4 linked regions of the Drosophila melanogaster genome follow. The protein of the gene in region 2 interacts with the protein of the main gene of each other region in a pairwise test. Each region holds a gene or a part of one and is shown on either strand. Other genes may lie near its edges.

The links.
Region 1: the proteins of lbe (region 2) and hkb interact in a two-hybrid assay, tested with the Drosophila melanogaster proteins (one large-scale study listed by BioGRID).
Region 3: the proteins of lbe (region 2) and CG9215 interact in a two-hybrid assay, tested with the Drosophila melanogaster proteins (one large-scale study listed by BioGRID).
Region 4: the proteins of lbe (region 2) and Spps interact in a two-hybrid assay, tested with the Drosophila melanogaster proteins (one large-scale study listed by BioGRID).

The regions. Positions count from the first base shown.
Region 1 is NT_033777.3:4,342,862-4,349,743, reverse strand, and holds hkb (huckebein), read left to right. Parts: upstream 1-3,097; 5' UTR 3,098-3,240; coding exon 3,241-3,895; intron 3,896-3,960; coding exon 3,961-4,199; 3' UTR 4,200-4,729; downstream 4,730-6,882.
Region 2 is NT_033777.3:21,439,866-21,449,891, forward strand, and holds lbe (ladybird early), read right to left. Parts: upstream 6,673-10,026; 5' UTR 6,229-6,672; coding exon 5,220-6,228; intron 2,536-5,219; coding exon 2,105-2,535; 3' UTR 1,712-2,104; downstream 1-1,711.
Region 3 is NC_004354.4:15,579,245-15,586,102, forward strand, and holds CG9215 (uncharacterized protein), read right to left. Parts: upstream 3,631-6,858; 5' UTR 3,525-3,630; coding exon 1,842-3,524; 3' UTR 1,686-1,841; downstream 1-1,685. Other genes in the region: CG7872 (uncharacterized protein), read left to right, coding at 1-191; CG8097 (uncharacterized protein), read left to right, coding at 4,218-4,954, 5,080-5,395, 5,459-5,746; Chsy (chondroitin sulfate synthase), read right to left, coding at 6,750-6,858.
Region 4 is NT_033777.3:24,220,735-24,229,083, forward strand, and holds Spps (Sp1-like factor for pairing sensitive-silencing), read right to left. Parts: upstream 6,201-8,349; 5' UTR 5,922-6,200; coding exon 3,015-5,921; coding exon of another isoform or gene 2,964-3,014; 3' UTR 2,711-2,963; downstream 1-2,710. Other genes in the region: twin, read right to left, coding at 94-113; cav (caravaggio), read left to right, coding at 1,174-1,191, 1,609-1,740, 1,802-2,689; CG13609 (uncharacterized protein), read left to right, coding at 6,390-7,484; Acp95EF (accessory gland protein 95EF), read left to right, coding at 8,258-8,275, 8,338-8,349.

The sequences.
Region 1 (6,882 bases), about 17 Mb from region 2:
ATGTATATATGATCCCTTGTATTGCACAAAAATTAAATGTTTGTTTGTATCAATTTTCCCATATTGAGTAAAATTTAAAATAAAAAGTTTATTTCGAATTAAATGATATTTCCAGTTCTTTACCTCTTATTACTAATTCTGATAATAATAAATAAGAATAACAATTTGACCACATTTACTAGATGTAAAATTTAAGTCACTTACTAAAATATACTCTAAAAAACATATCATTTTTAACCTAACAAATTACAACGACAAAAAATACTACTGATATTATTATTGGTATTCCAGATTCTTATCAATATCTCAGAGCAGATTAACGGGCATTTGATAGTCTAGGTATTACTCTACGAGTGTTTTTAAAAGTTATACATTAAGAAAGTTGAAATTTTTTCTTGTAATTTGGTTTCCTTGTAAAACATGCATTGGACATGCTTTTTTGAAAAAGCTAATAGCCCTTTTCCGCATAAACATAATTCAGAAAATTCAATCAGGAAAACCATTTCGAAATTGTTCGAACTTTCAATCTTCGTCCAGGATCACCAAATAGTGAGCTGGGGGCTTATTGAAACCCCCTACCCCTAGTCCAGTCGTAATCTATGTGCTCGTGAAGACTCTATTAAGTTTACACACTTGGAATGATAGGTACTATTAGCGGGGATCAGGTCTAGCTTGCTAAATCTTGCGATTCCACTTCTTTGAAACGTAATCTTGCTTATGTGTCTTGTGGCAAAGTAATTTGCCGACTGAAGTTTAGTTACGCTGGAAGTTTCCCCTGATCATGTCGCCGTCTGGGTCTACGTCCATCCTATATCAACAATTCACGTACTTTCCTCATATGTGGCGTGTCCCAGCTCGAGCGCATGTGAAATTTCCTAATTAATCCAAATATGAATATTACGTCGTGTTCTTATCTCGGGTGTATATCCCGTCAGGTATTGGACAGTGCAGCTAATCGTTACAGGCAATCCTGCCATTCCATGAATGAATTCACGTTCGCTGGCCGAGTGGTTACCATATCTAATTATTTTATAACTTCCTTTCATACCGGTTATGAGTGCCGCATTGTCCTAGGTAGGTTGCAGTTTACGACCCGTCGGGCTGTGAGACGATTGCGTGGAAATACCGGCGCTCATTACTTTAAGAATCTACTGCGGAAAATCCCAGGCTGCTGCAAGCCCAAGTCCAAACCTACGCAAATAAGCTAGTGAATTTTACAGTATCACCACCCTCAAGCCAGCCCAATCGGCTATCTACCTGCCACCCGACCACCAAGGGATCTATCCAGATCACAGGATCGTCCCTGCTCACGGCAATCCCAGTTTATGAATGAATTTACTAAATGAGCTCAGTCGTGAATGAAATGTTCTCCGCGGACCGCGTTTTATGGACGGTTCTACATATACATAGGTACTAACAAACCCACAACAACCCAGCCATGCCGCTGCACTCATTAGCATTGGTCGAACAATGCAGTTGGACGTAATCCCAATGATTTCCCTTTTGTTCTAAATGGCAGGACAGGGGCATAAGGCGCTAGGCCTGCGGAATGCACCTTCCCTAGAAAGCAGATATCTTTTAGGAAGTTATTATCGCTTTGGTCCGATGACAGCAGTTTTATACTCTTTTAAAAAACAACAAAACGAAAATATTTCGTTCAATTCCGCAAATCTTTCTTTTAATTCTAGCAGCAAACATTTTTATGATTATATGCTGTATCCGTCGTCTCTTGATTAGAATTAGAATTTGATTTCGAAATTATTTCAGGTATCTGTCGAAGAATATAGAGGTATATAATACATTTGGCTGCAAAAATAGGAGGCATATATTCATAATTTAGAGAAGGCTTACTTCCAATGCTTGTTGACTAGAAAATAAGATTGAACTCAGAACACTACTAATCCTATCGTGGGAATCCTTAGAGGGTATGTATTAATATTAAGTACCATTTTCCCTTTAAACTCAAATTCATACAGAAAATTGGAGTGGAAAGTAAACGCAACAGCAATTTGTAGCGGCTACCAATGCATGCGAAAAACTTGTGAACTTAAACACGAACTCTTAAAGCCAATATCGCCTTCTAAATTAAAACATTAGGTGTAGCAACGCACATTCAGCCAAAGTATGTTGTATCTGTTCTCGTAGTCTGCAGCCAGAATCGCGTTAGGGCAAACGCCTCCACGAGCCAGTAAAGTTTTTCTCAAGCACCCCCAGAGATAAAGATAAAGTTTAGGCGAACTGTACCAACTGAACAACACGCTCAAGCCTGGCAATCTCTGCAAATCCTGCCCAGCTGCTTGGCCCGCACTTTGCATATTCGTGATGTCGCGGAGCCACCCTCGAACAAGCACTTAATTTAATAATAAATTGCTGCCACATCGGGCACAGGAAACCCGAACCGCAGATAACCGAATTATACATTTGGAGAAGTATCTGTGTCTGGACGGAGGGAAGGAGGAGGAAACTGTGACTGGGAATGGGTATAAGATTGGGAGTGGGATTGGGATTGGGAGAGTGGGCCAAGCCAAGCCCAAAGCCAACCACCCGGGAATCATGGTCGGTGGGTGGGTGTGAGTACAATTCATAACATAACCGTGAAACGCAAATGCTCTGCTAAAGTTGCGCCCAAATCGGAGGCACCGCGCTGCTGGGATCGCCTGGGCCCAGTATATGTAGTACGGAGTGGAAAGAGTAGAAAGCGCAAGTTAGGAAAGCTGCCCGCCACTCGGTCGGGAGTTCGATTTTCCGGACCGGGAAAACTACGCAGGACTACACGCACACACCAGCGCCTTATATACTTCAGCTGCGAGTGTGTGTGCGAGCGGGCCGCCATTGTTGTGCCCTCGAAACCGAACCGAACCGAATCCGTGCCCGTTTCTGAAAGCGAAACCCACCCCGAAGCATCCCTCTCGCTCGCACATCCTCAGACAGACAAATAATCGATGAATGAAGCGACCCTCAGTGTGCGTGTGCGTGTGCGGGTGAGTGTGTATGTGTGTGCGCGTGTGTGTGAACGCAGGACGAATGACTGCCTGGGTATACGAAGTGTAGGTAGCCAGAGTCCTGGGTTTAAATTGAGAGGCGTCGGGGCAGGAGAGCTCAGTTCGAGTCGAGATCTCGCAGCACACACACAGCTCCGCACAACCAAATCAAGTCCAAAATCATAATCACAAGTGTTCCATCCAAGTGATTTAGTGTCGCGAGAGAGCAATTTAGACCTTCCATTAAAACTACTGCAAAATGTCGACGATTAACCTGCATCCCCCGCAAACCTACTCGCGACTTTTCCGACCCTGGGATACTCAGCGCCAGGCGGCGACCTCGGCGGCACCCAGGACAGTGAAGCAGGAGCCGGAGGCGATTACCATCAAGACGGAGCTGGCCAGCAGCAGTTTCGGCCACGACTGCGACGGAGACTTCTCCTCCGCATCCTCCTCTGCGTCAAGCAGCAGCAACAGCAGCAAGTCCTGCTACGAGGAGGCCCTGAACCACAGCAGCTACACCCGCACTTCCACCCCGCTGCTGGACGCCGCCCCGCACCCCGTCTTTTCACACCCGCAGTCGTCGCCGTTGGACACGCACGCCGCCGCCACCGCATCCTTGGCTCCGCCAAACCAGCACGCTCCATTCCTGTCGGCCGCCAGCGATCTCTACTACGCTGCCGCCGCCGCAGCAGCCGCTGCTGCCTCCACGCCCACTGCCGTCCCGGGCTTCGGCATGGACCCGTTCACTATGGGCCTGATGGAGCAAGAGTACGCCCGCGTGATGGCCGAGGACGCACAGTTAAAGGCGCTCAACAGCCGCAAGCAGCGGCCGAAGAAGTTCAAGTGCCCCAACTGCGACGTGGCCTTCTCCAACAACGGCCAGCTGAAGGGCCACATCCGCATCCACACCGGTAAGTCGACCAGAACACATCTGACCCCGAGAGTCCCACTCACTTATCTCCATTCTGTTCTGCAGGCGAACGCCCATTTAAGTGCGACGTGAACACATGCGGCAAGACCTTCACCCGCAATGAGGAACTGACGCGTCACAAGCGAATCCACACCGGACTGCGGCCGTATCCTTGCAGTGCCTGCGGAAAGAAGTTTGGCCGACGCGACCACTTAAAGAAGCACATGAAGACGCACATGCCGCAGGAGCGCCAGCTGGGCCCGTCCATCTTCGTGCCCATGTACTCATACCTTTATGGCTACTGAGAGGGAAATCCTGGCGAGCTTTCCCCTTGCCACGCGACCCTGCATTCCAGCGATCTGTAAAGCGCTTGCACGCTTTAAACAAGCATTACCGAACCGAATCCAACGAAACGAAACTTAACGCCAGCAAAAACTGCCTAGCCAATCGTGGACAGAACTACCTCAGCCGTACCTGGCGCAATGTGGCGCACTCACCAAACCCAATCTTTGGACCTCGACGATATATGCAAATATTGAGATATTTATTTTTTAACGCGTATTTACACTTCCAGCTACGTGACTGGTTATGATATTCGGCACATGTGTAAATAATCCCTAAGTGATCCTTCCTCATATGCTAAGCGATTAAGAAATTTAAGAGATGCCCGGATTTACGTCTAAGTTATACTAAAGCTGATACTTTAACAGTTTTATAAGCTGATCGTGGTTACCAGATACATACGATTTATACACAAAATTATACGATCATGGTTATATCTGAGAGTTGAATTATACGATTTATGTTTACAACACAAAATACACAAGAAAAACCGTACAAGAAAGACCTTTATTACCTGGGCGGTGTTAGAAATGAGGAGAAATGTACATAGAACTTGCAATTTTGTTCCCCAATGATTAAATGCATAGTTCCATTACGAGTATACGAGGAGCTAAAAACCAAGAACCATTACCTTTACATGTTAATGATCCACTGTCACTTCCCGTTAACCAGATCGTGCGACAAACCGCTCGTCATGCCGCCAATATCAAAGGCAAATCGGAAAATCGCATTTGAACTGTCATAAAAGGATTAAAAGGCACAAGTCATTTGGTCCGAATCTATCCAAATTTCATTCACAAATTACCCAAAATGAAACAGCACCCCAGACAAGCTGAAACCGACCAAGCCGCGATAATGAGCAGCGCCAAAACTAAGGGAAAAGTGCATTCGTGTCGCTGGCAATCTTTCCCACAGTCCTCTTTCGGTCCAGATGTGCCCACGTAAATTCGCCATTACTCAGCTGACAGCTTGCGTCATTCATTAGGACAATAAAGTGGTTCACCTGAGCAAAGAGACCTAGACACAGTGTCTGCGACAAGTCGAAAAATTACCTATGTGTTTTTGTTTGGAATTCGTTGTTCGAACAGCAATCGATTCCTGGTCACTATCAATGGCACTTCTAAAAGCGGACAATAGGTGCAGTTTATGAAAGCGGATCTAGGTGGACACCCAGCTTCCCGGACAATCGAAAATTTGTCCGCTTGATAGGGGCGTGCAGTCCTTACATTACGTGTCCCCTACCTGCTTATTGTTTTTCTCGGGCCTGAGAATATTTTCATATCGGCCAGACAGTGCGACGTCGTTCACATCGCACAAGTGACACAATGATCTATGCCGTCTCCATTCGATCCTTTACAATTGCGACTATTTGCTCCAGATACACAGTGCACCTAAAACTTCTTGAGACCACTCTCTGCAACAAGTTCAAACAATCATTTTTCAAGATGCGTGATAGTTGGCAATTAACAAGCGGGCAGTTTGGATTGATCGACGAGGGCATTCGGCAACCATGGGATTCCTAACCTAAAACGCATACATGTTCTTGACCAGATTCACTTGCCGATCCTCTCTAGGCATGTTTATCCGTCAATACAAACGTCGAAATCACTGAGCCCGAAAGAAGTAGAAGGTTTATGGAATCATGATACTATTTTTGAGTTTTTTTATTAATGAATACAATAATGTATGTGGACTTTAGTCATATCATATCATATATCAAGAAGTAGGCCATTTCGATATGGTGTTTTATTTATATGTAACAAACATACCCGTATTTCTAGTGAGCACAACGCTGATAATAACCAAATCGCAATTTCACATTTTAAAATTGATAAAAACGCAGAACTGAAATAGTGGTCAAAAATAAAACTTTACAAAAAGAAAGCTGAAACACCCGTGTAGAAATGATACGTTAAGAAAAAAACAATGAAGATACATTTTCATGTTTTATATACCATACCGTTACTAGGTTTAAGTTTTCCATATGGTGAATGAATATGTCATTTTACCCGTTACTCGTAGAGTTAAAGGGTATACTAGATTCGTTGTAAGTAGTACGTAACATGCAGAAGGAAGCGTTTTGGGCCATATAAAGTATATATGTATATATACTGTTGATCAGGATGAATAGCCGAGTTAAACTGGCCACGTCTGTCTGTCAGTCCGTATGAACGTTGAGATTTCAAGAACTATAAAAGCAAGAAGGTTGATATTAAGCATACAGATTATAAAGACAAGGACGCATCGCAAGCTTGTTGACACACGTTGCCACGCCCCTTTTAAAGCCCAGAACTGCCACGACCACACTTTTGAAAAATGATTTGATATTTTTAAGGACAGACTTGTAAATTTTTATAGACATTCCAAAAAAATTGCCACGCCCATTCTAACGCCGACAAGCTCCCCAAGCCCTGTTACGCCCCCACTTTTCAAAAAGGTTATGATCTGTTTTCATATTTTTAATAGTCTTGTAAATTTATATCGTTTTTATAAAGTAACATTTTGCTTTTTGTTTTTGGCTGTTTTTATGCAGCAATGTGGTTTTGTGCTCCGATCTGGCCCGTTCCGACTTATATACTACTAGCAATAAGAAAAAGACTTTTGGGAAAAGAGAAAAAAGATTAATGCAAATCAAAAACTTAACTA
Region 2 (10,026 bases):
CATTTCTGTTTGTTTTAACGGAAGTGCTCGGAGAGATTTTCCCATAATTAGAGCCCGGCTACGTTTACCTCGAATTGCGGGGCAAATTTTCTCAGCCAATAAAAAAAATGCCACCGGTAATGGCAGCTGTAATTTGTAGTACAACTCTATTTCAATTAAATGCTCTCCAGAGATACTTTCGCCGGTCACTTTCCAAGCCTATTAATAACGCTGAAGACCGAGTAATCAGAAGCTTTTAGGGCCCACTAAAAGTTTTTATCGCGGCGCATGCGTTGCATTGTCACACATTTGGAAATGAAAATAAATTGCTTTCGACCAAGTTTCGAGATAGTCGATCTGCATCTCATCCATATGCACGAGGCTTTTCCCGTCTAGTTTACGAACTGTGAGACACTGGGAGTGGGTTTCGAATGGACCAGTTGGTCGTATGCGATCCAAACGAATCGGATTGGTATCGGGCATCATTAGCAGCGGAATTGATAGCTTGATTATTCAAATGATTAACAAACGATCGGCTGCTGACCAAGTTCGCTGGGTTCGCTTGAGTGGGACCAAATCGAGTCCGAGATTGATGGCGCACTTCAGTCGCGGAGAGATCGCAGGTCATCTTGTCGGCCTCTCAGCTCCTCAGCTTCTCAGTTAGTTCGTCATGTTGGGATTGAAAAATGTGTCCGCCGCTGGCGATGATGGGCCACCTTTGAACTTAGCCGCAAACGGTAGCCAGAGAGCAGCCGACTTTGGCTTGGAAATTTATGAAAATGATCGCATCGAAAATTAATAAATATCGAAATAATTTCGAGTAAATTTCGTATGCAAATTGGCGACGTGCACAAATCGGCAAAAAGCCAGTCACATCATCGCCCGGCTTTGCACACTTAAAAGTGTTGAGTTTCGACTCGCAGTTTTTGCCTAACTCGTTTTCGATCGTGCCAAGTGATTAAATAAATAATTAATTAGTTTGAATTTATGAATAACGGTTGTAAATAATCATTAATAAAAATTAAAAAAGATTTCTTTTACTTTAAGACTGCGCCACTCAGCACAGCCCCAAAATCCGTAGCAACATCATTAGCATCGATCGCGCCGAAGCATCAGCAGAATATTCAAATTAGAACTGCTGGGCTGGCTTCCAGATACAGATGCAGATACAGATACACAAATTCGAATTGAACTCACCGAAACAGGCCGAATGGAAGCGCTCGCTGTGACTTGGGCATTGTTTGCTTAAATATGCTTAAATTTATTGACAACAATTTGCGGTCTTTTATATCTGCCTTTGTTCGCATCAAATTATTAATTGGAGTGAAACATATTTCGCTTTTTAGAGCTAATTGGCTGGGGAAATACATACTGTGTTTTTTAAGTTGCTTAAAACTGTATTAAATATTTATAAGATTAGATTTCTGTAAATTATAAGAAAACTTATTAATTATATTAATCAGGGAAAGGAGAAGAACCATCGATTGCTAAGAAGGGAGCTTAAAAGTTGAACTCATAAAATTTTAAAAATTAATTGTTTACATGCTTAGTTGCTCCTAAAATGTTAGAAAAAATAATCTGTAGTTTTGTAGTGTTGGAATATTGATATTATACGAAACACCTTCATTTGAATAACTGCTTAGCACACCATTTGAATGTACTATATCAAAATCTCTTTAAACTTTCGATGAAAAATTTAAACGCCTCTTTGTACATCAGTTTGGTGGCTCTTAAAAGAGCCGATTATAATCGATGTGATCCTGGCTGTAGAGCCGAATCCAAGTTCTGGCTGGTTCCATATCCACTTCCGTTTCCGGCTATGATTGTTCTGGCTTGATTACACGGCCCACAAAGGGGCCTTGGTCCTGGCTGGTTAGTCTCCATCGGGGCTTGGCATTGAATGTTGCCCTTGCCCTCTGCGTCGTGGCCATGGAAGATGTTAAGGATGTCCTGGATCTTCCTTTGGCCGTCGAATGCCTGGTGAAAATGAATTGGGCGAAAAGATGCGTCCCAACTTTCCCGGCACTCAGCTCAAAATTAAACAAAATACTCGACTCCTCGTTGCTCACTTTCTGTACCAATCATCAGGTTGCCTTGGCGGTTCGGTGCGCACCTGGCCACGCCCTCATTTGGGCGGAGCGCCTCCCATTGGCACGGATCCAGGCACGGGAACCACCATTCCGGCAGCGGCTGCCGCAGCCGCCAGGCCCACCATATCTGACTCATGCATGGGCTTCTTCTTGAGGATGCTTAGGTCGTTCACGTTCTCCAGGAAGGACTTGTGGGCGGAGAAGACCTTGACGCTATCGAAGTCCTTCTTCAGCTCCTCGATGTCCCGCTTCTGCTTGGCTCGCCGGTTCTGGAACCAGGTGATCACCTGGGCGTTCGACAGTCCCAGTGAGGCGGCGATCTCATCGCGGTCCGCTGGCGACAGGTACTTCTGGTAGAGAAATCGCTTCTCCAGCTCGAAGATCTGGTGGTTGGTGAAGGCGGTGCGCGACTTGCGCTTCTTCTTCGGCTGCGGCCTGTTCGAGAAGATGTCCAAGTGGGATTTATCTAAAATGAGAGTGAAGATAATGATGGGTTAGTTAATACATTTAATTATGTGTAGCTTATTGAACAATCATATCATTATTTGAATTTAATGCCTTCACAGGTACTTGATCGCATGCTAAGCCCGCTGCCGCCCGACATAATATATGTTGTTATAGTAATAAGAAGATAATTTTTCCGAATAGCTCATATTAATTGGAGTCAGTTACTCCAAGTGTGGCCAGTGAATTCTACGATGCACGGCATTTGGCGAACCGGTTACTAACGAGCGACTTTGGCTTGGTTTTTAATTGCCTCTCCGAACAGAGCGCGTGTTGATGGAAATGCGGTGATTGATACATTTTATGAATGCAACTGCGATTGCAGTTGGAGTTCTCAGATCTGAAATCTCGAATTCGCGACCTCAGTTCGCAGCTTGAAGTGTATAATTTCAAGTTGATTGATTGCGCGAGTGGTGGGCGTTCATTGGCTTTGTTGGTCTAATGACGATCGCAGCTTTCCCAGTGCCGCGACTTATGCAAGACAGCGGCTCATTTGTCTCGTTTGTAGTGTGATTTATAATAATTATTGACACCTACAAATCAGTTTTAAGTGGTACACGTAGCCACGGCTTGATTAATGAGCCACTGACCCGTACTTAAAGCGCTGATTGAGCTTGCATAACGTTTCCTGGTGCAAATTATTAACCAAATTCCGGGGCGCGGTGCCAGTCAAAGCGATTGGAGCAGATCGCCGATCATCAGCATAAATATTTATCTATTGAATATTGGCTAACCGGTTTGATGGCTTGGGACGATGGCTTCACACCCATTTCGATTGCTTGTCAAACAAACTAGATCGACATTAAAAACTAATTAAATGCCCTCCAACCGAATGCAAACGAAGTCTCCGGAGCTTGGCTATGGGTATACCCGTTTTACATACACATACTCGTACATTTGGAATGCATAATTTGGTCATTTGTTATCTCGAGCACGTTTTGTAACCCAAAACCCATTAGGCACTTGACTGCACGCCTCCCTTTCCTTTCTCCGAGCCTTTCCCCGAGCCTTTCTCCCCCACCTCCGCAGCTATTGTATTTGTTTTTATCGGGCCTCATTAAGTAATTTCCATGACTTATCTCTGGAGAAAGGGAGTCGAGCGGGCCACTTGGGTATCCTTTTACCCACTCAGGTGTCCACTTACAGGCATAAATATGGCTCTTACTTGGGGGAGTTTTGTTTTGGTCGCATTTGTCAGGGCTTCATGTCGAATGCGTTTGGGAACGCAGGAGGAAACCCGATCGATTTTCGAGGAACCTGCCGAGCAACAGTTGGCCACAGGGAGTTTATGTTTTAATTTGGCGCGAGTACCGAGAATCGCAATTAAGATTTGGCCAGCAGGGGCGACACCACGTCTGGCATTCCTTCCACTAGCTGGAGCGTTTATACCACGGCAAAAGAGCTGAAACATCACTTTCCATATGTGAAAATATCTTCGACTAGTGCTAGTGATATTAATGGGACCTAGTCATAAATTAGGAGAATCCAATGGCCCCACAGCTGCCTATCTGCCTATCGCCCTGCGCAGACTTCCTCCTCCGCACTGATGATGATAGACAAACGACGCATCCAAGGCGCAAAACCAAAGAAATCCGTCGTAAATATTTCGAGCGCAGCTTATACAACGCATGATAAACAGTAATATGTGTATTTTGTCAACTTAATACTCGGAGATACGGCATTATACAACGCGGAGCAGCGAGTGTCGTCGCTAATCGCTAGTTGGGGGTATTTTAAAACATGTTTACGACTGGAGCTGTGGCCACTATATTTACTGTACAGACGGGCTAGAGTTTGTCAGCTATTATTTTTGAGTAGCAACAAATGGAAACGGCATGTTAATTGTTCGCCACAACAAAACTCGATTAGGTAATGCACCAGCCAGCTAATTGTTGCTAATCGCTGCAGAATCGACACGACTAACACCAATATACTAATGCGGATAGTGCGGACTATTAACCATTAATTGCCATGAAATCACTTTGGGGTCGGGGGTGGAGTGCAGGGAGTACTTGAACGCCCACTAAATGCCCTCGGTCGAGTTTATGCCAAAATAAACCTAAGTTGCAGAATAAAAATGCCGCAGAATGAATTATACTTTATCATCAAATTGGTTCGTTTGTTTCTGTCGACCGCTGGCGCATGCTGCCAATTAATTAAAAGCCCGAAATCGAATCGGTTAAGGAATTTACATAACAAAAGATTTCAAATGGCGGGTCGCGGGCGAGTGCTACCATTTGTTTCAATTAAACGAATTTCGAATTTGCTGATTGATAAATGGAAAACGTCATAATAAGCTTAATATTCAGCTTCTGCGTTTGCGATTCCCCAATTTCAGAACGATAACAAATTAGAAGCTTTTATTCTAATTAAGAAATCGCGCAAATTTATTTCGAAAATTGAGACGTTTTTCAACCGAGACACACTGATGAAATCAATTGGGCTACTAAGGATTCCATAATTTAGATATTGATTAAGGAAATTTCATTTAGCTTAAATAAGACTCGTAGTTAGAATCATATTCATATTCATATCATCATCATCAATCACTTCAAGCCACTCAACTATTTTCCAATAAGAAGAAAGAACCTTTACGAACTATAACTATGTATGCAATGTATATTTAATCTCCTGGATGATGCTTACCTTGCGACTCGTCAAAGTCCTTTGTGGTCATCTGGAAGAGAGCATCCAGAGGAGTGTCTCCGTTTGACTTTCCTGAACCCGTTGGCTGCTCCTCTGATTTCTTCTTCTGAGCTTCCTCACTTCCCTCTTGGGTGGTTAGTTTTTCAAGTTTTTCCGCCTGCCGTGGGCTGCAGCATTCGGTGCTGCCATTGCTGCTGCTCGATCGCTGGGAACGCTCCGAGCTGCCGTCCTCGGAAGCGATGATCGCGGGATTCATGCCCATGTGGCGAAGGAGCTGGGCCTGGGCGTTAAAGTGTTCCTGCAACTGGCGATGGTAGTCCAGAGCCAGGCGCTGCTCGTAGTGCAGCAGGGCGGAGGGGATGAAGGGGCGGACGGGCATGGTCGGCCCCAGGAGGTGATCCCACGGCCGAACAATCTGTCCGCTTGGCAGGAGCATGGCAGCAGCAGCGGCCGGGTGGACATCCAACGGTTCCGTGCGTGGTTGCAGTAATCCGCCCGAGGGGGCAATGGGCCGGGAGGCAGGTGGAGCCAGGAGGTTTGCATTTGGGGGCGGGGAAACGGACTCCTCGCGCTGCTTCTCCGAGTGACCCAGTATGTCCGCGATGGAGAAGCTCTTGACCCCCTCGATGGCCGACTTGGTAGTCTGGTTGGTCTGGGGCTCCGGAACTGCTGACGGTGGACTGGGCGTGTGGTCTCGTGGCTCCGAGGAGGACGAGGACATGCGCAGGCGCTTCAGCGGATGGAAGTAGTCCTCCGGCAAATTGCCGACGGCACTCCGGGTGAGTCCGGAGGCGGCTGCAGCTGCTGCGGCGGCTGCTGCGGCATGGTGCTGCATCAGCAGCTGCTGCTGCTGCAGCAGATCAATGGTGCTGGCCCGTGGATGCTGCAGCGGATGAGGATGCGAGTGCGGATGCGTATGATGCTGCGTGGGCAGCGGGCTGGGGGCTCCGCCCACGGAGATTTCGGATTCGGCGGGACTGGCCGGACGCATGGTTGGAGGGCAGAGCATTTAGGTTCGCTTCAGCACTTGGTTTCTTTTCCGAGAGTTTCGTTTCAATTCGTTTGGTTTAGCACTTAACTGTTTTTCAAGACGGCTTTGTCACTACACTGCAAGTCGGTACTGACGATACTGACAAGCCTTGTACACTCAAATCTTGCTATAATTCCTCTGATTTGTTTGATTAGTTTACACTGATGCTTCGACACGACGACGCTGATCCAATGGCGTAGGACCTCTCAACTCGACGCTTCGCAGTCAACTGTTCGAAACTAGATTGAAGATTGGTTTGCTAACTAGACACGTCGATATTTCTTCAGTTCTTTTGCTGCCGCTGCTCTCTGCCGCAGCTCTCGTTCGCTCGCTCACTCTCTGTCTCTCTCTCTTTCTCTGTCTCGCTCGCGAGAGAGCAAAACCCGTTCTGCGAAAGAGCGAGATACCCTTATGGTAGTGTCATCTCGCTCTGCTCGGCTCTCAGCACCAATCGGCTACAGCAACAAAAAATAGCAATGGTGGCGTATACGTAACGGTAATTATGGCGTTCATCATGAGACTGCTGTGCAAAAGGGATGGCAGACGGCGAGTGCGAGCGAGACGGGCGCTTCTCAGATTGTAACGAGACTGTATTTAGTATTTTAGTCGCTGCAAAGTTTTCACAACTCCAAATGCGTCGACTGCGGCGCAGGCAGTGACAGAGGGGGCTAGGAGCCCCCTCCCCACTTTATGTACAGCTCGTAACCCCCTCACAGTTAGCATTAATGACGATGACCCCCGAAGGCAGCCTGCGTTTAATTGTCAAGCGTTTGCAATTAATTTGCCTTAAGAAAAACGAACAATTAATTTGGAGGAAAACAAAAAATAGAAAACAGTGGGGATATAAAAATGCGCATAAATTTGAAGACATTTGGAAATTAATTGGAGTCTGAGAATGGAAATGAGGCCAGTTTCGTCTGAATGAAAACGAATATTCTCTATTTTCAGCCAAATTTGGTGGGAAGCCAGTTTATATAATTGACTCTAGTTGCTTAGATTACTTATTTCGGTGTGTTTTCATTCCCGACGGCTTTTTTTATTGCTTGATTTCAGTATTGTATTCGTATATTTGAATTTTTATTTTATTTATATAATAAATTGTGATGCTAGTAATATTATTATTAATCGAAATATTTTGTTGTTGTAAAACATCTTTATGTAATATTTAGTTGTACAAGTTAAATTACGTATTAAAATAACTTTACATTATTTTCGAAAAAGGTAAAAATTAAATCCCAATAAAAACATTTCTATGTCACACATAAAAAATTTATTTTTTCCATTTTTAATCGGAATACTGTTAATTGTGAAATAAGTAAGGTTAAATGATACATATATGAGTGTTTGTTTTTTTTGGTTTTAGTACTGAACATGTTCCCCTTTAGGATTTCTATGATACTACACATCGACATTAAAAGGAGGAGCTATTTCATTTTCCCTGTAATCCCTGCCGTCCAAATTCGAGCTGCACTATTTAAGTGGCTGCCAATTTGCAATTGTCCACACGTCTTAGTGAACTTGAAGGCAATTGCTGACACCTTCGAGGCAACAAACAACGCCAAATCCCTTTAATTGAAACAAATGCGAGTTGCAGCAACAAACAGTGGAGAACAAAGGAGGAAATAGTAGCAGCAGCAGCAGCAGCGGCAGCACAAAGGCGTCAGGGCGTCTGAAAACAAAGGGCCAGAGGTCTATTAACGAAAAGTCGAAAATCCAAAATCGAAACCAATTGCTGCCGCAGCAGGATGCTAAACGAAAGGAATTGCCGGCGACCACCGCAGGCTCAGCGCCCGACTTTAGCCGCAGTCGGTCTGTCTTTTGGCCCTGACCTGATCCGGGACCCTTTCTGAGGCCATGGTGTACTACTACCTGGTGCTCCCGGTGAGCGACTGTTGATAAGGACTAATCACACAAATATTTGAGCATTCCGCTTGTGATTGAGGCTCGCCGCGAGCGGCGCGTTTGATTTCCCGCGTTTAGCGCTTCTGTATTTTTTATAATTCTAATTTTGGTTGCCCATTTCACCTTTGTTCTCGGCGGCTATTAGTGTATCTATTAGATACTTACGTACACACACGAACGGGGCCTGCGTGGGAAAAGCCGCCGTGTTAATTATGCCAGGTCCTTGAGTCGATGAATCCTTCGCGGGGAAGGTCAATTTACACCTGTGCTCCCTCTCTAAATTTCCCACTGTGTGTGGCTCCATTCACACGATGATAAACTCCTGCAGTGAAAGTGCGGGGAAAGGGTTCATTAATATTCAAATTTAAAAGCAGGGCGACGATTTCTTTGATTTATCGGCTCAACTTCAGCTGCCGCATAATGGTGGAGCCAGCAGCCGGAGCAGCTGAATCAGTTCATTCCGCCGGAAACGATAGATTTTCTATAATTTAGATTGTCGCTCCTATCGTCAGATATCTAAATGCCTCATAAGTACTAGGTGGCCAACTACGTAAGCTTGGTATAAACTAGCATTGCCATTATGTCATAATACATTGCCTGACTTTGAATAATACTAGACTAAATTCATGAGTTAGTTGATGCTAAAAAAATATTTATGAAAGGTTTACAACTTAAATTTAACGTAATTCTTGTATGGCCGCAGCTAAGCTTCTTTTAAAGGCCAATACTATCTTCCAAATAGCAAATCAAATCAGAACATCCCGCCTTATGAAGTCCTTTCACTTTGCTGAAGTTGACTATATTTTACCATCACAGCAAGTGTATATCCGTCGTCATAATGCCCCAACTACCAAAACAACGACTTGTCTGTAATTGTCAATTAGCAAGCTTTCAACGGCAGCAACAGCCTGAAGTCACAGCTTCCATAAACAAATTTATATTCGTCGTTTTTGCCATTTAGTTGCCCTGAGCGATTTGCATATGCCATGGAGTCACTTTCGGTTCAAGACTTGCAGCTCCACAGCGACCCACGCAGCATTGACACATGCCCGTCACTGCCACTTGATCTCGCGGCTGTGCGGCAGATAAAAATCCAAGAGATTGGAATCGAGTTTGGTAGCATGTCGAAAATTGTAATACTACCGATGGCTAGACGATAATTATGCATTTAAGCCGCCTTTACTTGCTCCGCTCCAATTGGGTGTGTTCGATTGACCCAAAATGATTCAAAAAGCTTGGGAGTCAGCTATAGTGGATAATCTGATGTCTTGCCTTATTTTCAATTACTTGAACTCAAATTAAATTGTATCGAAATTGTACTGTACACAAAATTAGTAGCTAATTTTTTCCATATTCCCATGACTGGCAAGCGCTTGCGACAAATTGAGCAATCATTTGGCCATATTTCTGGCTTAAATCTTGATTAGCCAAGTTGAAGTCATTAATTTATTGTTTGGTTTGGGGACGTACGCCTTTGAGTTGAGAATCAAAGAGAAAGTCCTCCAGCTCAAGCGTTTTGTGCCGAAATAAGAAAAAACTGCTGAAAAGAAAACTCATCAAAGAGAAAAGTAGTTAGACACAAAAGACACTTGAGCTGGAGCGGCCATTACACATTGCCAATTTCACAGTAATCATCGGCATGGCCAAGAAAGCCCTGGCCGAACAAAATGTGGCCCAGAGGAAAGAGTAGCAGAGCGAAGTAAGCCGTTTAGGGGCCACCCACAAAGTGAGTTTTAGACTCGAAGTCAAAGACCAGGCAAAGAGACCTCGCTTTCGGGCCAAGTTGGGCTGCCTCCGTTGGGCACGCTAATCAAGGCTGGATGGCTAAAAGCTAAAAGCCAAATACCGAACACCAGAAAGCAAATGCGAGTCACA
Region 3 (6,858 bases), on a different chromosome or scaffold from region 2:
TCGAGGCGCAGGAGGACAAGCTGATCGAGGAGTACCTGCATCTGAAGCTGTGGAAGCGCGAGAACTTCGTCGCCTGGAAGGCAGAACAGGAAGAGGAGATGAAAAAGAAGCTGGCGGAGAATCCACGATACAAGGCGTACAGGCGATACATGAAGAACCACGGACCCGGCCGCATCACCTTTGAGGATTAGCCGCTGCTCTGCGATGTTCAAGTTTCATTGTTCCATCTAAAAGTCTGTTGTGTGCGTGTTGTAAAACCGATCCCAAATTCCTCGCCCTCGGCATCCCCATACCGTCTAAATTTTGATACATTTATATATATATATTTAGAAATTTTTTGTACACCAACTATATCAATATGAATTATGTTAATGTCCCGGTGTTGTCCGCCAAAGGGCGAAACGTTGACCCCGCCGGAGCGATCCGCCAAAACCGGTTCAAGAACGTGGCCACGTTCGGTACGCGTCGGCACAGTGTCCACTGGCTGCCGTGAACGAACCATCCTAGAACAATTATACCCCTACCTGGCTGGTCACAAAAAAAGCACGCCACATTCGCGTGTTTCCTAACTAACTTGACTAAACCGATTACTGTAATAAACTAGATAAAATTCAAACGTCTCTCTTACTGGTTGTTCACTGTGCCTGGTTTGCACAGTTGTTCTGGATGGCCAAAAATTCGATCTCGTGGCATTTATTCGCTCTAAACAGCATCTCTCCGTGCTTTTGTTTACACAGTTTGCTTAGAAACAATTTCGTTTTTTATTGTTTCTTGGTTTGGTGCGGTTGCTGAAAGTTAAACTTAAGTACGTGCTTGAAAATAAGCTGAAGAGTAAAGAAGTCTAGATTTTTCAATGGTAGCCTTCAAATAAAGTTGATTTGTTTTGCGAAATGCTGACTTTAGTTTCGGATACATGCGTGTGGCTCTTGCATTTCGCTATTCGCAGTTCACGTATACCAATTTTTATTTAAACATGTCTTCAAAGTCCTCAATTTGTTTAAAGTAATATAACAGCATAAGGTAGTGAAATAATAAGCATTTATTACCTTATCATTTCTTCTAAAGAATCAAAGTCCTCAAGTTGTTTAATGTAATATAATAGCATAAAATAATAAACATTTACAATCGTATAATTTCTTCTAAAGAATCAAAGTCCTCAATTTGTTTAAAGTAATATAACAGCATAAGGTAGTGAAATAATAAGCATTTATTACCTTATCATTTCTTCTAAAGAATCAAAGTCCTCAAGTTGTTTAATGTAATATAATAGCATAAAATAATAAACATTTACAATCGTATAATTTCTTCTAAAGAATCAAAGTCCTCAATTTGTTTAAAGTAATATAACAGCTTAAGTTACTAAACTAATAAACATTTATTACCTTATCATTTTTTCTAAAGATTCAAAGGCCTCAGATTGTTTAAGGTAATATAAGCATAAAGCATAACTTACCAATATAATAAACATGTATTAACTTTTCATTTCTTCTAATGAATTGTTAAACAATAAATCCCTTTAAAGTAGCTAGAATATAAATGCACATTGTTAACTACTTATTGTGGGTTTGTAAGGTTCTTCGCAATTGCTCCCCAAATAATATTCGCATTAAGTAATATTCCATTCACATTACTATATATGTTCTATTTAAAGCCACTTTCCATAAAAAATAGCCAATATTTCATAAGCTTTCTATCCGAATATCTCCATTTTATTTACACCGATTTCTTAGAGCTACGCTTCTTAGCCTGGTTGTCTAAATGGTACGGGGTGGGGAAGTTTGGGGCCATCCTTGTGTGGAGACAGCCCCTTAGTGGTGCGGTGAGTTGTCCCGGTAGTAATACTATTCTATCATGTACTTGGATTCGTCACAGAACTCCTCGGTGTCCAGCAGATCGCCGACCAGTTCCTTGACAGAGTCAACGCTCTGGTAGCCACCGACGTACGGGTAGGAATCGTCATGCTGCAGCCCTTCGCGGTCATTGGCCTCCTGCTCCGCGTTGTCCTCCTCGTTGAACATGAAGTCATTCGCCACAATGCACTCCTCGAGAACCTTTGTCTGCTCCAGCTCTACGGAGTCCAGCGAAAAGGACTCGGGGATTTGCTGTTGCTTGCGCGCTGACTCCTTCCGTGCGGAGGCATTCTGGTTGCGACTGGATGCATCAGCGGATGATGATGCGACCGATGCCTCGCCGTTGCCCGAGCCTCGGTGCTGTTCCATATGAGCCGACAGATAGGTCTTCTTGGTGAAACCCTTGTCGCACTGCGTGCACTGGAACTGCTTCTTGCCGGTGTGCGTCCGCCGATGGGCGGACAGAACGTGAGCATAGGCGAATCCCTTGTTGCACACCTCGCACACATACGGCCGCTCGCCGGTGTGGATCCTCTCGTGCTTCTTGCTGCTGCCAAAGTCCGAGAAACGACGCTCGCAGTGCCGACAGCTGTAGGGCTTCTGGCCGGTATGGACGCGCATGTGGCGTCGCAGCTCAACGTTTGAGATGAACGCCTTCTGGCACACCTCGCAGGAATATGGGCGCTCGTTGTTGTGACGCCGCATGTGGGCATTTAGCGCGTGCTGGTACTTGTATGTATTACCGCAAACATCGCAGATCTTTGGCGAGCGTTCGCAGTTGCGGCGTTTGGTCGTGGAACCGGCCTTAAAATCATCGTCCACGTTCGCCGTCAGTTTTTCATGCTTCACATTGGGCGAAACGCGACGGTAGGTGCGCTTTTTCTGCTGGTTGGCGGGATGAGTAGGCGGCAACGGCAACGGCGGACTGGCCACCACAGACTCCTCGATGAGCGGAGTCTCGATCTCGTACAGATGCTCCGGCGTGTTTTCGTCATCCCAAGGATCCAGTTCCAGCATCTTGGCCTGCCCCTCATCCTCATCCTGCTGTTTTTTAGGGTCCTTTTCTTCTGCCTGCTGAGTAATAGAATCCTGCGCTTGAAAGTCATTCAGGGATAGGACCATCGCTCCGTCTGGTATCAGGGATAGTGAATCGGTCTTCTCCTCCTTGACATCCTCGGAGGGCTCCGTGCTGGTAGTTATTGTACCGCTTACTGAACTGGAAGAGCAGGGCTCCACGTTGAGCCTCCTTATTTTCAGTGTTGCTGGCAGCCGAACGTGAGCCTGTTCCAGATCAAGCTTAAGCTGCTCCTGCTGCTTATCGACCAGCATAGGGGCAGGAGGAGCAGCAGCAGCGGCGGCGAAGACGGCGGAGGTCGAGGTAGAGCGGCTGGCGGAGCGAAATAGCTTCTGGACAGCGGTGCACTTTTCGTGAAAGCGATAAGAGACGGACAGCTCCAGATGGCACTGCTTGCAGATCTTGTCCGGCCAGCGCTGCAGCTGCGACGGGCTGCTGTCCAGCTGCAGGCTGGTGCAGCAGCGAATCTTGTCCAGGATGAGCATATGAGGAGACTCCGGGTCGTGGCCATAGATCGAGCTGGCCTCGGGCTCCTCCGCCAGGCAGACCAGGCAAGCCACGCCCAGGTCCACCACACGCGGCTGCAGGTTGTTGGACATTGCTCCAATCTCGGACTGAACCTGCGTTATGGCTCTTGCTCAAGCTGCTCCCAAAATTCGCAACACGCGCAGGCAACAAGAAAACACTTCTTTTGAAATAGGGATGGCACTTGCGTGTTTTTCGGTACCTGACACTCAGTGTGGCAATCACGAGACTTGCGCTATTATCGTTTTATTGGTTATTGGATATTTATTGGTTTGGTTATTTCTTTAAATTAAAAATGTGCAGGCCCTTTTAGCTTAGGTGTATATTTGAAAGTGGTATAAAGCAAGGCAAACTATTTTAAGATTCATTATTTTTTGTGAATTTGCGATATTAGTAGCGATTATTTTGTATCGATTATTTTGTAGCTATGATTACCCACCTCTAGCGATTGAGCTATCGATGATTTACCTTTACGAAAAGTGCGTCTGGCGTGAAGTGTTTGGTTTTCAGCAAATTAAGGATTTAAGTAGGCAAGCCTGGAAATAACTTTAATTATATTACTGACATATCATCACTAGTTTTCATACTTTACAAGTGTTCGTTTATGTTTCTATACAAGTGAAATTATTTTCAACAGAATTTAAATTGTTATATTTCGCGCTTTTCGGTAAAACCATTTATCGGCGAACAGAAGATTTGCTTTTGACGGCAGGCAGAAGATTTGCGTTTGACGGCAGGCAGAAGAAGTTGATTTTATTCAGTGAAAAATGGATTGTAATCCAAGGTTGCAGGTTGGCCAGCAATTATTCGAATTTTTTACCAAGCCGGAAAAGCCGGATGAGTCTGGTGGCGATGTAGCAGCTCCGTTGCTCTTGAAGAAATTCGGCAAGTTGATCCGTTACAACAACGATGATCTGACCGAGCAGGGTGACTTGACTTTGGCGGCCATCCCGCGTTACTGGCAAAAATATTTAAAAAGCCAGGGTCTGAAGCTGCGCATCGATGGCGACGAACTGCTCCCCAGCCCGGTGGACCGCCTGGAGTTGATGGAGCATTCACGCAAGTGGCGTTTCCCGCTCGCCGAAATCACTGTGCTGAACAAGGAACGCTACTCTCTGCGTTTCCAGCGCCATCCGATTATTGCACATGTGCTTAACTCTGTGCTCACGCTGCGCGGCGATTACGGCCGTTCGGCAAATAACAACCAATCGCGCACCATATGCTTGCAGTTGCAAGCCGTTGTCGGAGCCGTCGATGGCGGGCAGGACTTGCGCCACTATCGCTTGCAGCAGCTATACAAGATACTGCTGCGCCTGGTTGACTACTCGTCTTGGCGCCTCGTGGAGCCGAATGACCGCCAGAAGGACACCATCTGTGTGACTGTCGAGCTGGAGAAATGCTGCAACGGCAAGCAGCCCGTGGAACATGTGTGCCTCACATGCGGTCCTGTTTTGGAGCCGATAAATAAGGGCGCCAGCTCATTGACTGTTGACGAGTACTTAAAGTAAGCACATACTGTATTAGTACATGTTTCGACAAGCTCTTTTTTCGGAGTTAACCTAAAAACTCACATGTTTTGCATCTCTTTCTTATTCGTGTTTTCTTTCGTATTCTGCTTCTTCAATGCAGGCTGCGCTGCCAGCACATGGAGCTGATGGCCACGCAGCGCTCCGGAATGTGTCCGGTACCAATGAGTAGCCTTGATACGCTGACGAAGCGTCTTGCGGCCGCTGCCGTGATTGTGGATCTCTTTGTGGTGCGCCACTCCAGCGCCGTGAGTGTGGTGCGCAATGGAGTTGGCATTTGCAAGGGCGCTTCTTACATCTTGTACAATTCAGCACGTCTGGAGGCGCTGCTGCGCAAATTTAATTATGAGGTTAACAATTGTGCCTATGAGAAACTGCCACTGCTGGATGAGATCGATCTCAGCGTTCTAGAGGATGATGTATGTGATTTTTGTTTGCCGTATCATGCCATTTTATGATTTTTCTATGTTCTTTTTGCGCAGGTTGACTGGGAGTTGATTTATGGCTACCTCCTTACCTTTCCGGAGCTAATGGAGTCCATAATGGATCAATTGGACCAGGGTCATTGCGGTCTCCATCTGCTTGTGCACTATGTTGAGAACCTGGCTGCCGCCTTCAGTCGCTTCTATTATCATAAGAAGGTCCTTCTTCAGAAGCGCGATGAACTAATGCCGATCTTGTACGCCAGGATCTACCTGATCAAGGCGGTGAGACAGGTCCTGAATACGGCTCTGGCCGTCCTGGGCATAGAACCGGTGGACTACGTATAAAGATATGTTGAGCATATCTTCTATAAACAAAAAACAAAAAAAAAAAACACAAAAACAAGAGGCTAATGCGAAACCATAGCAAAACTAAATGCTGGCTCAACAGTGGGCGGTAATAATATATGTAATAATATAATGACATGTGATCTTAAAAGGGCCATACAATATTGATATAACATAGTTACACCTCTCATTTTATCGATAATAATCAAAATATAGCAGTATCTACTTGTAAACAAAATAAAACGTTGAAACGTTGAATAAAAGACTTGCTTTTTGTATGAATACAAAAGCTCATTTTGTACAATCGAGTCGTTTATTATTGAAAGAAGTATCAACACAACGTTTATCATTGAAATGCGATTTTGTTTAAACACTTAATGCTACGTTTTCAGAACAGGAATCATCACGCATACATAGCTACATCTTAATGTATGAATGTCCTAGCTATCGAGAGTTGATAACCCAACCGAAACGTATTTCTAAAATTTTTGACAATATATAAAAATTTATTATTTCTAAGGGACTGCCAACCATTAAAATACTTTGTATTTCCTAATAATTATCTATACAATTCGAATTTACATTGGAACAATTTTAAATGGTTTCAGCGACTTTGGTTAGAAAACAATGTATCATTAGATACATAATAATGATTTTTGGTAACTACATTTAATCGCCATAAATGTTCCGTTTTACTCTTATTTACATTTCATTTGTTTTTAGCATACAAAATCAATTTTCGTTTCATTTTAAAACTAAATGGTATGTACCATGTCATGAAAATGTCCATATATATTAATCTATCCTATAAATTTACAGTTGTTTCACCCATGTCATCATTATTGGCCATACATGTACATACATACATGGATTTATGGACCATTAGTTGGGCTAGCTTAGCATCAGGGACTTACCAATTATTTTGGCATGTAGGAAACATTTAGCATAATACTATGTGGCAGGAGCGCTGGCGGGGATCACTGGATCTGGATGGGATCGATCATCACCTGGCCTGCTGTTGCTGTTGCTGCTGTTGCTTTTGGCGATTGAAATCGGCGGCAAACTGGACATTTTCGGGACTGCTGTGGAAGAGCTGCTCCATTAGCCGCGTG
Region 4 (8,349 bases), 2.8 Mb from region 2:
GCCAAACTCAATAGTTGGAGGATTTTAGGAAAAATCTTTATATTTTATTAATAAATAGCATTGGATATGTATTTTGGAACGTTGTCTATGCACCTTTTTTTAAAGATACACATATTAGGCTTTAAAGAACTGCTATTGGCTTTCGCACAGCTGCGGATGGTAAATTGTAAATCATAAATAAATGCAAACGAAAATGATTTTGGTAAGCGCGCGCAAAGTGCAAGCACCAACACACACGCACACACACGGACGCGTAGCACACACAGAAACACTATACAGTTAGAAAGAAGAATGGCGTGGGCGGGCAAAACAAGAAGAAGAAGGAAAGCCGTATGTCGCATATTGAAAATCGTGGGTATCAGGAACCTGTGTAGGATTACCTGGCTCAGTTCACTATTCCTAGGAAGTCACCTCAATCGGAAATTCTGGCTCAAATTTACTCGCCGTCTCTCCTCGTTTCGCGCGCTCTTTTCGCTCTCCGCCTGCACTTACTCGAGGATTTTGAAAGAAAAAGGAAGCCGCAGCTGGGGATTCAGCAATATTCGATATTCACTGTGAAATTTAACCGACTTCTACCGTTTTTGGTGCCTTTATTTGGGTCCTATATTTGTTATTTTATTATTTTGCTGCTTTTCGTTCGTGTTTGTCGGAACAGAAGCGACGATTCTGCTAATCAACCTATTCGTTTTGGATCGCTCTTTCTTCTGCTGGGCCTCTGCTTTTCATTTATTTATCACGCGACTCGCTTTCATCGTCGGTTCTTGTTTTTGTATACATGGTGAGCAGTCGGAGTTGCCACTCGGTTTTATCAGCGGACGGTATCACGGCAAGATTTGTCCAAAATGCGTGCTTATTCGTCCAACTGAAGTCCGGCCTAGTGTTCTGATAAAGTGTGAGACAACGTTTGTTTGTAAAAAGAACTACTCAAATGGGATTTCAGTCAAAACAAAACAAGAGCACATCACACACAAGACGCACACATACACACAAGACGCACACGCACACAGATGGTCAAAGAGGTGCAGGGCTGAAAATAAAAACACGTAGATATTTCGTACTGTTTGCTTTACTAGCCACTTTTTTCGGTCAATGCTTTTTGCTGAGGACTCGGCTTTCGACGCGATATATTTTATGTAGTTTAGATCTCTGGATGGACGATTTATTTGTGAATTTATGCTGCTGCTACTATGTGTAAACTTTCGTTCTTCGCTTTCCTTCGTTTTCCATTTCTCTTTTGTGCGCTGGTTTGGCGTACGCGGAAATGCCCACTTGCTGTTAATCGGCTATCGGAAAGAATTTGCAAGCAGGGGCTCCAACTAGCGTATTGAGAAAGTAGCTATATTTTGTATGACAGTTAAGACCCCTGTTTTTTGAATTGATATTTTTTATAGGATTGAAATCAGGAGCTTTGAATTATTAATTTGTAAAATAAAATGAGTTTATTTTGACAGCAAACGAAAATACTTAGCTAGAATCGAGCTAAACCATTAAAATCTGTAAATACTGACTAATCGATAACCTTACAGAGTTTCGATAGATCCATTAGCCGCGAATGCCCTTAAAAAGTTGTAATTTATTTAATTTAATGTTGCGTGTTTTTAAAAAAAGGTTAATATGTCGGGGACGCAAATGTCTGCCTTCCTGAGAAAGTATCTAGCCGACGAGGACAAAAAAATTCGTGCGCAATTCAAAGAAAGCGATCCTAACAACAAATTGATTCTATGGATGCACGAAAAAACGGTAAGACGCATTTCATTTTGTAAATTGAAATTGTATATTGTATAGTATCCTGTATTTGAAGAGAATAACCGAGGAGGACTTGGCACGCCCATACACCGAGGACGAGGTAAAGGAGCTTTGTCTACGCACCAAAGTGAAGGTTGATATGACCGCTTGGAATTGTCTGTGGGAAGCCAAAAAGAGGTTTGAAGCAAAAGGACGTTTTGTGAACAAGTCTGAGAGATTCATCAACCGAATGTATATGAAAGCGGTGCGCAGAAAGATGGTCCAACCGTATCCGGAGGAGTTTGTGGCCCAGCGAAGAGAAATAGTTGCAGCCGAGACTAAGAAGCAGAACATCAGCCGATTGGATAGATGGCAAAAGAAAAAGAGTCAAAACCTATCAGCACCAGAATCCTCTCCAGACGCTCATGCATCTTCTAATGACGCGGTGCAGAGCCACGAGGACCAAGCAAACACAAATCTTAGTTCACTGTCTCAAATGAACTTTCAAGTGGAAGCGATGGCTCCGCCAGGCGTGTCGTCATCTGATCTTAGCGGCATCGGAGACGATGAGGACGAACAGCAGCAGTCAGGATTTCAGGATGAGAACATCAACCGTCCAGAGACAGAGATTAATGAGAATTCGGTGAGATGTGATCCAATTAATTTAGGAAGGATGCGGACTGGATGTATAAATTCGCAAGCAAATAACAGTTTCCGGAATACGGAGTCTGATCCGGACTACTATATGTTTGGCACCCAATTGAGCACATTAGTACGACCCACGTCGACTCAAGAGCCTGACGATCAGGTAAACTGTCCAGAGACAGAGATGAATGAGAGCTGGGTAAGGTGTGATCAAATTAATTCGGAAAGCTTGTCGATTGGACCGTCAATTGATTCGGAAGGAACTATCACTTTTCAAAATACAGAATCTGAGCCGATCGACGTCACCTCAATAGCCTGATGTCCATATATTAAACTATATAAAGTTCTTCATTTATTGGTGTTAATTAATTAAAAACATGTAATCCCTAAAAATGTTATAAAATGTATAATAAAAATCTTAATTAAAATACGATGGTCGATTAAGCTATGTACACTAATCTAGGATGATCCGCAACCGGAGCTGTACAAGAAGGGTAAACATTTAAAATGCTCGCTTTTACATAATTACGCTATGTACAATTTATATATTGCTAAACCATGGTCCCATGGGGCGCGGCAGGGGGCGGTGGGTGCTACGGGAAGTGGTCAAACAAGAACTGTTCCATGAACAGCGACTCCGAATGCTAGTTGGACGAATTGTCGCCAGGCTCACTGACCGCAATTGTCATCTTCACTTCATCGCCACTGTCTAGTTCTGGATCCTCGTCATCCTCCTCATCCTCGCAATCATCCATATCGTCCTCGTCGAGCTCCTCGTCTTCGTCGTCCTCTTCGGTCAATTCATCATCCTCCTCGTCGTCCTCATCATCGCCGAAACTATCACCCCCGCCGCTGGCCTCCACAGTCGGCAGCTGAACGATCGTGGCCCCGCCCGGCGTCACAGTTGAGCCTGCAACCGTGGCCGCCACACTGGAGGCTCCACTGCCCGCCGCCGCTGAACCGCCGCCCGGAATCTCAATCGTCACAATGCCGTTCACCGTGCTAATGCTTTTCGGTGCATTGCCACCCTTGGTCTCCTGCTTGATGCTCAGCTCAATTAGCTCCACGCCAGAGCGGCTCTTAAAGTGCGTCTTGATGTGCTTCGACAGGTGATCGCTGCGCATGAACTTTTTGTTGCACTCCTGGCACTGGAAACGCTTCTCTCCCGTGTGCGTTCGTCGGTGGCGCTGCAGTTCATCGGAGCGGGTGAAGCGCTTGCCGCAAAACGCCCAGGAGCAGACAAATGGTCGCTCGCCAGTATGCCAACGCAGGTGAGCCCTTAGATGGGAAGTTTTCCCGTATACCTTATGGCAGCCGGTTATATGGCATATATGCTGGCGCTTCTTGTCCGAGTGTTTTTCGCCATCTGTACAATTGGGACAGGTGCAGGCTACTCGCTTTAAGCGTGGTTTGGGCTCTCCAGTCGCTGTTCCACCGCCGCCGCCAGTTGCAGCACCTCCGACGCTGGCCACACTTATGTTCATATTGAGATGGCTTTGTGACGGCGTTGTTATAGTCGTCGTGCTGGTGTTCGTGCTCCTTATGCTGGCAGTTGCTCCCCTAGCCTGCGTCGTGACGGACACCACTTGGCCACCAGTCGGCGCAATTGTAATCTGGGTGCTTGACGTGGTCACAGCGTTGACCTTACTTCTTGCAGGTAACGATACGGGAATTGGTTGGGTTGTGGCTGGGGTATTCGGTGTATTCGTCGCTTGCTGTGGCAGGGCTGTGATCTGAATGGAGGCTGGTATGCTCAGGCTGGACAGGGAATTGCTTTCCGTATGCAGGAACTTGATCTGCTGCTGTTGCGGTGAGGCTGTGTTTGGAGTAGAGGCAGGTGCCGGAGGATTACCAGTTGCGGAAATGGGTCCAAAGGTATCCGGCGGCTCTTGCTTGATGCTGGTGATCATTTGCGTTGGACTCTGCGGCTCCTGCTTGGGCATCACCTGAACTTGGCCCTGAGTTTGCACTTGAGGATGCGACATGGGTAGTTGGGTTAGTACTTGCTGGAAGTTGGCTGGCAGATTAGGAGGCAGCTGATTGGCGTGAATGATTTGCACTTGACCCAGGCCTGGGATGTTCTGGATGGGTAAAGCCTGAAGATTGGGCATCTGCATTGGTGTGGGCACACCAGCTGGAGCAGGAGTGGGTGCGGTAGGCGCATTTGGGCGTAGTTGGGCGGGAATCACGGTCAGCTGTTGGCCCTGGGCATTGGTAATGGTGATGGGCTGATTGGGCGGCAGTTGTCCCCCCGCCGAGGCATCGCTGATCGCCTGAAGGAGCTGCTGGTGCTGCGCCTGGACCTGTTGTTGTTGCTGCTGCTGTGCCTGTTGCTGTTGCGCTTGCTGCTGCTGTTGCGCCTGCTGCTGCTGTTGTTGTTGTTGTACTTGTTGTTGCTGCTGCTGGTGGGGATTCTGGATATGTATAATGTTGGCATTCGGAGGCAGCTGAGGATACGGCATTGCCAGTTGCACCTGCTGAATCTGACCGTTGGGCGTAACAATCTGGGCTATCTGTGAGAACTGCGGGATGATTTGCATCTGCGAGGCGGAGGGCATCTGCAGGGATTGCGCCTGCATCAGGTTTTGCAGTCCGCCGCTCGATGTTGCCGCTGCCTGGACGGGCACATGTACAGTCTGGTAGATGGTCTGTCCGTTAGCAGTCTGAACGGGAATCTGCACAGCAACCGTTTGTTGCTGCTGCGGCATGGCTGGCGCCGGAAACTGCACCAGTTGCGGCCGCATCTGCAATTGGCCGTTCTCCAACTTTATAGATTGCCCGCCGCCTAGTAAATTGGAGATATTGGAGATGTTTCCCAGCAATCCATTCGCCGCCGCTACCGAGGTTGGTATCTGCAGGTTTGTGCCCGGTATGGTGATGCTGCCCGGCAGCTGACCCGCTGTCCCACTATTGGTAACTCCCGATCCATTGGCTCCAGATGCATTTGTTCCTTGTGCCTGCTGTTGCACTGTACCCTGGTGCACTTGTTGTGCCTGCTGTTGTTGCTGAATGAGATTGGTGACGGGTATTTGAATGTTGGTGCCGGGTATGGTGATCAGCTGGGTTTGCTCCTGGCCCAAGCCGTTCAGCTGTTGCAGCTGAATGCAGTTAGAGGCTGCCGGATTAGCTGCCATCTGGGGAGCCCGCAGAATTTGACCGTTGGGCGTGATAAAGGCCTGTTGCCCGTTGAAGTTGACCGCCTGAGCGGTGGCCAGTTGTGCATTGAGGTTTGGTATGAAGATGGCCTCCTGGCCATCAATGTTCACCGTTTGCATGGGCATGGGCTGTACGATCTGGAACATGTTTTGGGGCATGCCAGCGTTCTGTCCGTTCCCGGCAACCGCTCCGCCTGCAAACTGAGGAGGCATTTGGTGAATGTTGATGATCTGCTGCATGGTTGGTGTCCCGGGAGCACCGTGAACCTGCGTTTGTGAAGCTGCTGCACTAGCTCCATTTGGTGGAATCGTCGCCTTGCTGGAACCGCCTGCCGCCAAAGGCGTGGCGGGTGGCGCACTAGTCGCCGCACTGGCGGCACTCTTGTACTGCAGCATGGCAGGGCTTTAGATGAGATTTGGTCAATCACAAGTGCTTGGAGCGAAACATGTTCAGTTTTTTTATTCGCTCAGACGCGCTACTCTGCCAGGAGATTGGTAGCATTTAAACCAAGGTGGCACACATGGGGTTATGAACACTGGGATGCGGGGTGCCGACGCTAACATTCAAACACATAAATAACACGAAGTCTAAAGATAATTGCGCTGCGAGACGGTTTTAGCGAGTTTTTAGTTTTAATTTTGTTTTGACACAAACGCAGAAGAAGAAGTGAGAGTGATTGGCCAGGGTTGCATTGCGTTGCATCTCGATGGCCGCCAATCGACCAACCAGCCAACCGATAGTGCGATACCAATAACAAACCGCTAAAAGCAAGAAGAAGCATATCACAGATAAACAAATTTTTAACCGACAAGTTGCCTATCCGACAAAATCCATATTTAATTAGATTGCATCTTGAAAGGGGCATGGAGCCGGTTCCAGAGGAAGCCCGAGGAGTGGGTGATGACGAAGGGGAACTCGATTGTCTAACACATATGATTGGGGCGTTGCTTTTGCAAAAAGAACCGGAAAATCCTGAAAATGGTGACTCAAAGGAAACAATTTGGAGTGGAGAGCTCGAATGGGAGGATGCACAGATATTGGATCAACCGAAGACTCTGCACACGGTCCAATGCAAAATCTGCTCCATGGTTAAAGAAGGTCAGCCGGAGATCAACACGGAGAACTGGCCAAACAAGCTGAAAACACAACTGATACCCAAAAAAGTGCTGGGTAAAATTGGCGAACAATTCCTAAAGGATGCCAGGATGGTTGTATTCCGATCCAGCCAAGGAGAGGTACTCAATTTATTGATCACGGCGATGAGCTCTGGTTTCGCTGGTTGCATCCACTTCCCCTCCAATCCCAACTGCAACATCAAGGCTCTAATTCTCATCTACTCGCGCGATCATCAAGCTTTGGTTGGCTTCATACCCAACAATGAGGATTCGTTTAGCGAACGACTGCAGGAGATTCTTCAGGGTGCAAAACGAAAGCCGGGCGTCAAAACACCCAAGCAGCCACAGCCAGAAGAACCGCCTCCTGTGGAGGAAGATGCCATTATAAATGAACTCCTATGGACTGGATCGCTGAATTGGTCGACACAAGCAAGTTTAGAGGAGCCAAGCATTAGTCACAAGCTTGAGTGTTCCGTGTACATAGCTATAAAAAACGGTGATCCCGGGATCAGTGCGGAGGATTGGCCAACTGATATGCCTATGGTTTTGATGCCTTCAATTTATCTTGGTCAGTTCGCCGGAGCGTTTATAAAGGACTCGAAACTTATAATTCTCCGATCGACACCTGGAGAAGAACACGACTCGCTAGCATCATCAATGTCCGCCGGCAGTTGTGGCTGTGCCCGATTTTCCTCCGAGGTCGTCTGCAAGGTTATCATGCTGCTGTATTCGTCCCCGAGGAACGCCTTCCTGGGCTTTATTCCGAGAGATCAAGCTAATTTCGTCAAGCGATTGCGGGAAGTATTAGACGAACATCGCCAAAAGGCGAGAAACAAAGAGTAAACAAGTATCTCAAGATGATCTCAAAGTATATTTAAAATATTTATTTGAACTCTAGGTATATCAAATTTATAGTCATCGAAGAAAGTATTGTTTTATAATTAGATATTTTTTTTTTTTTTGTTTAATTATTATAAATATAGACCAAAGAATATTTAAACAAGATACGCTCGCACGTCCCCAGTGGGAAAACATACCAAGGCTAAAATATGTAATCAGATAAATAATCATAAAACTGCGAACTCCTGAATGCATTTACGCAAGTTTGTATTACGAATGTCTGTCATACGTTGCCATATTAAAACTTAACCGATCTTATAAATAAACATTTTTGATGTGCATCTATTATGTTTATGTTCTACAACTAGGTCAAGGACAACTGTGTTATCGCATGTCAGATGCTGCAGCATTAATAGACATTAAAAAAAAAACCCCGACTGTAAAATAAGTAATCTAATGAATGCTTCTATTTAGGAAGTTTGAAATAAAAATAATCTTCCGAATGCAAAATCCTTTCCTTTTCGTATTAGTTGTGAATTGATCGAATAAGTATTTTCATATGTTGGGTTCATCATCTTCGTCTTAAGGATTACATTTTCAAAGGTCAATTAGTCTTTTTCATTGCGTAAGCCTTGTAAAAAATGTTAACGAATTTGATTCAGTTTTAAATTTTGAAACGAACCCATTCGATGCGGCCTTGAATACCAGTCATATATATATTGGAGATCTTTTACACATTTTTAGTATAGTTTTCGATTTCTTTAGCGGATATCAACATGGCCTCAGTAAAATTGGTGTGTTGGTACTAATCATATCTGCGTTCCAAAATCTAATATTTTTTAAAATTTTCGCACAGTTCTTTATTGCT